Xenopus tropicalis: one gene and its partner. The main gene of each other region encodes a partner of the protein of the gene in region 2 in a complex. Links are inferred from orthologs where the notes say so. Each region holds a gene or a part of one and is shown on either strand. Other genes may lie near its edges.

Region 1 (4,160 bases), on a different chromosome or scaffold from region 2:
GACCCATACCCCAACACTCAATAGTAAAAAATCACGTCTGGCTCACCCAAGTCATGACTCCTCCAGTTACATTATGTAGAAGAGACAATAGCTTATCTGAAAGCAGTTCCATTGTGATATGCTGGCTCTTTCAAAAAGCACAGGATCAGACACAATGCACTGAGATGGCTGGCTGTACACCAATATTACATCTATAAAAAATGAATTTATTGATTGAGGAAAAACATTTTAATTTGTAGAATTAATTACATGCAAAGTACACAGTGTAATTTATTAATAAAAACTAAACCATACAAATCATGACAGAATCCCTTTAACTTTTAGCTTGTTATAAATGTTCTACCCAAAAGAACTTTTGAGTCTTCATTATTTCATTTGTATGGTTTTTGAATTATTAGCTTTGCTATTAAGGCTATTTACAGCCTACAACTAAAAAAAGAGATATGCTGGCTCATTTACAACAGTGGGGGAATTTGATTTGTGCAATAACCTATAGCAACTAATCAGTGATTAGATTTTTTTTCCCAACAAGTTGCAGGCAGAACAATGAAAGCAAGTATGTGAATGGCTGCCACCAGATGCGTGGCTTCTGTTTGGTTACATTCCTTCTAAGGCACTCTGCTATTCATCTTTTGATTTCAAAACTGTTAAATATTAAACTCTAAGCAACTTTAAAATATACAGAAATAATTTTGCTGAAATAAACTCCCTTACAGATAAGACTAAAATCCCCACATTGTTGCAAACTTGTTATTCTCCCTCTTCTTAGGTCTGTTGATCAAAAAACACGGAGGGCCCTGAAGAAACTTGGGTAGCTGATTACTGGTACAATTTTTTGAATGCACCAAGTAATTGGTAAAACAAATGAAGTAATGGTAAGAGACATGTCTTAATAGCATTAAATATTACATTTACAAATAACGAACATCACAAATGTTTTGAATAATGGTAGTTTATAATGGGTAGTAGCTCCATTAAAAGCAGAAGCATTTAGTCTTATGTAATACACCTAAAAATGTACATTCCATCAGAAATGTAAGCTTAAAAGCCAATTATCCACAAGGGCATAAATCCTACTCAATAACACAGAAAAGGTAAAGATTTTTAATTACCAACTGAAATTTTCTGATTATCAATGACTATAAGAAGAATTCAGTATTTTATCTATTATTAGTATTTTAAGGGTGAAGTTTTCAAAATAAATTTTTAGACATTTTTTTTTACACTTCTCTGATCCTGGCAACCAAAGAGATCTACTGAAAGACTGATTTTGCTATCAACCCTTTATCATCTTTCTGATAATACCCTCTTTTTTAATGTTTTATTCTGACTTCGAAGCTGATGCCTGATTTCCAAGCCCAAGCAACTGAACAGCAGATTAAATCCCTAGCCAGAGAGATATAAAATAAAAAGTAAAGATTAAAAAGTAATGCAAATCTGTCTTACAGTATCACTGCCTACAAAAAAGGATATTTTAAAGTAAAGAACTTATTTAGATAATTTACCCAGATAAACAATAGATTAGACACTGCTGACCAATCAGACCGGAAGCTGTTTGATATCTGCCTATACAAAACAAATGCAGAGAAAATACTACTGTGGGCAGCATGGTGGCTAAGTGGTTACCCCTGCTGCCTTTCAGCAGTGTGATATCAAGTTCAATTGTGACAGGGCACTACTTGCAAAGTTTTGTCTTGAAGTTTGCTGACATTGAGCATGCACAGTTGAAATTAGGTCCAGAAGCAGCCTCAACTGTGCAGGCTCCTTGTAAATGAATGAAGAGGACACGAACAGGCAGAAGATGGTAGTTTGTTAATTATTAGACTTCATTATTCTGTCTATTCCGAGTCTGTAACTTCAATCCAGTGGGGGGGGGGGGGTCACTTACCATAAAAAAAATTAGATTGACTATGAGGGTTATGACTTCCAAACTGCCTTCACATTAGGGTAATTAAAGTCTAAAAGTTGAAATTCCAAGCCCCTAAGTTACGGAACAAAAATTGTTAAATGCCTTAGGCTAATGAATAGAATGCGCTCGGGTGCAGGCACATGTAGCCGAAATCCGCATAAAAACACGAGAGAATGCAAATGCACTTAAATCTTGCCAATGGTCATTAATCATTAACATAAAATAGGTGTAGTACTGCATTTTGGAACAATAGGTATGCATGAAATTTGGAATTCAGCTGAACCTTCTTCTGCAGGGTTCAAGTTTGGCTGAATCCAAGTGCCTGACTGAACCGAAGCAGAACCCTTAAAATCATGTGATAACATTATTGTGAAAAATCCCTTTCAGACCAAGCTAAACTGCTCTTTAGGAGTGGGATTCAGAAACCTTCACGAAAATTTCAACACGCAGACCAATCCTGAAAAACTTAATCTGGGCATCCCTAACACTTAAACATTTGCAATGAATATCAGAACACCTAGCAAATATTACGCTGTGTCTTAAAACCAGGGCAAATACTGCCTTGATCCTACAAAATGCTACACTTTGCACTGCAATAATACATTTCCCTAAAGCATGTCCACAAGGAAATGATTTAATCTATGAGAATATTCCTGAAAAAATCCTTGAGAGAACCACTGTGCAAAGTCAAAAATCCAAAGACACGACATTATTTACTTATCTGTTAAATTCACGTATGCAGTTACACATATGTAAAGCAACTCTAGAAAACCCATGGAGGCTTTAAGCAAGTAAACCGTTTAGCGATGTGATTTGTATAAAAGATACATTGAAATCAGTCACTAAAAACGGTATGCAGCATACAGTACAATAGTCCCGCTATATGCGGGACAATCACGATGTTCTTAACACACCCGCTGTCCAAGCTCCCTGCTTAAACGTCCCGCAACGCCATTAACATCCAGACCCTTGGTTCCTGCCTGACAGCTAATCCCTACGTCACAAGTCTCATCGCGCGAGACTGTGACATCACAACTTCACGTCTATGAGAGCAGTGACGCGGTACGTAGCAGTTTGGCAGAGTGATGAGTTAGGACGATGTACTCAATGTAAAACAGCCTGATGCTTGTTGCAAAAAGTGGTAGTTTGTGGTGGGTTCAAAGGGCTGTGCCACTAGAGCTTCTGCTCATTGTTTTTTCTGTGTATAGCTTCGTCTTGATCTAGGGAACTAAAAGAAAAAAAATACGTTTTTCTTTTGTAGTTAATCCTACGTAACGAGATAGGAGCCCCTTTTCTTGTTTTCAGCAAAAAAGTGAAGGCTTTTGTGAAAACTAGGCCTGGTAAAATTAAGTAACCTTTTTGATCTTTTCTGTACCTGGAAGTATTTTGTCAGCTGTGGCTAGATTTTTCACAGTTTAGGGACAAAACGATGGCTGATTTAGAATAAAACAGTAAGTAAAATTTACCAACTGTAATTTTGAGATTTTTGTCTTTTTTTTAATGGCTTCAGAGGGTTATAGAATTTTACTCTTCGCTCTGGTTCTGTCACAGAAGTATGCAGGTTCCTGATCAGTTGCACTGCAGAAAGTTCAGGGGCTCCAAAAAGGTGTTGGTAAAGACCAGTGCTGGCATGGGGTTCAAAGAGAAGAAACACAAGCTGCCACCCACAGCAAGACTTTTTGTCATTTTGAGCTCTGGTCCAGTGTTTTATGTGAACACTAAAGGTCCCCATACACGGGCCGACTATAGCTGCCGATATCGGTCCCTTGGACCGATTCGGCAGCTAATCGGCCCGTGTATGGGGAGAGCAGAGCGGCCTGGCCGACCGATATCTGGCCTGAAATTGGCCTGATCTCGATCGGCCAGGTTAGAAAATCCGGTCGGATCGGGGACCGCATCGGCTTGTTGATGCGGTCCCCGATCCGACTGCCCCATTGCTGCCCACATAATCCGATCGTTTGGCCCCAGGGCCAAACGATCGGATTATTTTTTTTTTTTACCTAAATGCTCCCCGATATCGCCCACCCGTAGGTGGGGATATCGGGGGAAGATCCGCTCGCTTGGCGACATCGCCAAGCGAGCGGATCTGCTCGTGTATGGCCACCTTAAGGCAGTATTTTACATTTTAGGGACAAAACAATGGGTAAAATTTAACGAGTAATCTTACGTTTTTAGGCTCTTTTGTTCACCATGTTGTCAGAGGGTCCCAGTGTTTTTTGTTTAACCCTTTCCCTGCCAAGCACGTAGCTTC
Region 2 (3,649 bases):
TGCTAAGGAGGGAGGGAGGGAGATAATTAACCGCAATGTTTCCAGCTTTATCATTATTCATTTCACACAACCAGGTTTCTGATTTGTACACATAAAACTTTACTTCCCTCCCCATTAACATTAAACTGTAAGGTAAGTATGTTTATTTAAAATAAGTATGAGCTAGACCAGTGATCCCCAACCAGTGGCTCATGAATAGCATGTTGCTTCCCAACCCCTTGGATGTTGCTCCCCGTGGCCTCAAAGCATCTACTTATTTTTGAACTTCTGGTAAGTTTTGGTTGCATAAAAACCAAATATAATGTCAAAAAGAGCCTTCTGTAGGCTGCTAGTCCACACAGGGGCTAATAAGTAGGCAATTATAGCTCATTGGCACCCCCAGGTACATTTTTAATGCTTGTGTTGCTCCCAAACACTTTTTCCATTTAAATGTGGCTCACATGTATAAAGTTTGGGGATCCCCGAGCTAGACTATGGCTACCAAGGGAAGGCCCAGCTCAGAGCCTAAATCAGTGATTTCGTTCATATCACATCATTCAATGTATAGCAGGTAAGTGACTGAACAAGACTAAGAACAGAAGAGCAGGCTAGCAGTATGGTTACACAGTCTGCCATACTCACACTGTTGTCTTTCAGAGGACTTCTTTGTTCTTCATCCTCCTCCTCCTCCTCATCCTCTTCTTCTTCAGATTCCGCTTCCTCTTCATCCGAGACCACAGAGTTGGTGACAATAACAGGTGTCCATCTCAAAGCTTCTGGATCCACCTCTACTTCCCGCGGCCGGGCCTGCAAACGACTCATGTGTGTCTGAATTTGTTGTTCCCGACGAACCAACACAACGCTGTACGAAGAAGAGGACAAACAGATAAGCATATAACGCATTGGTAAGGGGTGGGGGATTACATTCCCCAGTGAATTTAAAGAAAAAGAAGCAACAAGGAAGCCCCAAATAAGTATAACAGCAGCAGCAGGAGCTCACCGGTCTCCACGAAGTTCCAGCATACGTAGTTGGTGCAACGTGGCCGCAATGTCCTGGGGGCAGATACCAGTCAGCTTGGTGAGCCTTTTGATGCTTAGCTGGTGCTCTCGGTTGTGATGTAAACACTCAAGTACCACACTTTTCCAGTACGCCATGTAAGAGAGCCGACCCAGATCGGAAAGTGGCTTTTCTGGGGATCCTGCTTGCCCCTCTCGTTTAGAAAGTAGGTAACCTAGGAGGAAATAGCAAAGGTGTTGTGCATTACTATACATTGGATCATACATCAGTAAGAAGCCGATGCCTTCAGTAATGCAGGGAGCTTGGGCTCTCCCCCAGCGGGGCACAGTGCCTTGGATAGGGATCCAGCCTAAAAGCCAGGTAATATTTGGAGAGAATGTCTGCACTTCTAGACACTCTATGAAACCAGTCCTGGATGTCAATGAAGGGGACATATGGAGAGTAACGTTTGCATAAAGCGCTTCTAAAGCAGTGGAATACATCTAAGCAAACAGCTCCCATATAGTGTTAACAAGTATGTCCCCTCCCCCCCCTTACTTACTGAAGTCTATAAGGAAGCGGCCGTATCCTTTTCTCTGGTACTGTGGAAGAATCATGATGCAGGACACGTTGTACTTCTGCTGGCAGTGCTTCTCCTGGGGATGGAAGGGAAACACAAAGATGCATCAGAGCGTGGATCAGGCCCAGTATTATACAAGAATCACATACATGGCTTCTATGGACCGGATAAACGGGTTAGTGGGGAAGGCTTTATTTTATAGGAGGAGGGGGGTAGGAGGGTTTCTCATAGTAGGGTGCTGAAGCAGAAGCTGCTCATTCTTAAAGGCAATATTCACCTTTATATATGTATCACAATAGACTCTGCAACTGATCTGCATATTGTGCTGTGGGTTTCAAGTTTTTCCATTTTTTTTCATCAGCAACCAAGATTTTAAACAAGGTAGTTGCCCTAGCAACCTTAAACAGGAAGAGCACTCTGTGGCCCTCTAAGAAATGGACCTAATTCTTGCACGTTTAAGCAAGTCTGGCCACCAGAGGGCGCAGTCTGAGGATTTTATGCCAATCACAGTTGTACAATTTCTCTTTAACCTTGCATTTGCCTATTGGCCAGCCCTTGCTTGCATTACGACTTACCATGAGCACAATAATCTGCATTTGTAATTAAGTGTATATCCATGGAGTTTGTAATGGACTTGTATGGATCTGTAATGGACCACTGCTTGCATGCAACACAGCTGCGTATGGGGTGCAGAATGTAGGCATTGCAACAAAATTCCCTATTAGTCCACAAAATGTCACTTTTGGGTGGGAGATGAGAGACATTTTTACGCTGGGATTTCAGACGGGTGATTACAGGCCGGTGTCATCAGCACTGGCACGAACCCTCTGAAGCTTGCAGCTCACTGCTGATTATAAGGATGAAAGATGAGCTTCATGCTGCTATAGCCACAAAGAGAGAACTCCTGGGAACCAGCCTTATTTAGAATTCTGAAGCCTGACTAAAGAGCCCTAAAGCCTTTCATATTCTCTAGGACACAGCTTTCTGCATTCACCAAGTCATTAGAACCCCGTGGAAGCCTCTGATGTAGAGCTTCTGGCATGTCATTCTATAGACTTGGAATCTGCCGTACAATTAGAGCAGGGTCATCTCCGACTGCTGGCACTGACACGCCACCCTGCATTCCTTAGCAGCGCAGAAACCTGGCACGTGGAACCTTTGCTACTAAATGCTAGGGTCACCAAACAACCAGAATCGAAGGAGCCTATTGAAGCAGCCATCTCCCGGGCATTGCTGATTATCTAGATGAGAGAGATAAGAGTGCTGGGAAGGCTGATTTTCTTATCTAGAGCTTTTGCAACAATGCCATTTTCCATGGATTTTAACAGGGTGTTATCTCTGTTGCTATATGTTATGGGCCATTGGGAATTTGAAAGCTGAAAATGGTTAGAAGGTGGCAAATAATTTAACTAAAAAATAAAGAACAGTTGAAAAGTTGATAAGAACTGTCCATTTTATAACATAATAAAAGTTAATCTGAAGGTGAACCACCCCTTTAAACATATATGAATACAATCAACTATTAACATAAAAAAAAAAAAAAAAAAAATTTGAAAAATTAAAGTGAGGGGGTCCCTTTAAGAACACTGCCACAGCACTATCGTATCAGGGCTCCTCATTATTCATCCATTTGCTTGCCATCTGGCTTTGAAGGTAGCTGGAACTACGCGTAACCTACTTTGGGAAGAAGCTGAATCAGGGGACGTTCTTCCTTAGTGAGAAAAACACAGGTGCACAGCAAACAGCCCCTTTCCCTCACCTTGGAGAAATATCCAACAAGATGGCAGCCTTTCGAGTCATTCTGGGTCAGCACATAGAAGAGAAAGGGCTCCACGTCATAATAGAGGGTCTTGTGGTCGAGGAAGAGCTTGGCCAGAAGGCAGAGGTTTTGGCAGTAGATGGTGCTCACCTTTCCATCCACCTAAAGAAATGTTAATAGGAACATATAATCCAATACTGAGCAGTTTCACCTCTTTCTCCCCCCCCCCCCCCCCGCACCTTATTTCTGCCCATTTGTGGCTTTGGCATAAAGGTGACACAGTACCAAACGGAGGATGAATAAAAGGAAGCAAACAAAGCCCAGAGAACAATGC

The links.
Region 1: kat6a (region 2) and brpf3 share a complex: the UniProt entries of both Homo sapiens proteins name them as parts of the MOZ/MORF complex. The link is inferred for Xenopus tropicalis from reciprocal best matches to the Homo sapiens genes KAT6A and BRPF3.

The regions. Positions count from the first base shown.
Region 1 is NC_030678.2:65,001,733-65,005,892, reverse strand, and holds the start of brpf3 (bromodomain and PHD finger-containing protein 3), read right to left. Parts: upstream 2,861-4,160; 5' UTR 2,824-2,860; intron 102-2,823; exon of another isoform or gene 56-101; coding exon of another isoform or gene 47-55; intron 1-46. UniProt on the Homo sapiens protein: Scaffold subunit of various histone acetyltransferase (HAT) complexes, such as the MOZ/MORF and HBO1 complexes, which have a histone H3 acetyltransferase activity.
Region 2 is NC_030679.2:130,478,472-130,482,120, forward strand, and holds part of kat6a (histone acetyltransferase KAT6A), read right to left. Parts: intron 3,478-3,649; coding exon 3,316-3,477; intron 1,633-3,315; coding exon 1,539-1,632; intron 1,212-1,538; coding exon 980-1,211; intron 842-979; coding exon 622-841; intron 3-621; coding exon 1-2. UniProt on the Homo sapiens protein: Histone acetyltransferase that acetylates lysine residues in histone H3 and histone H4 (in vitro). Component of the MOZ/MORF complex which has a histone H3 acetyltransferase activity. May act as a transcriptional coactivator for RUNX1 and RUNX2.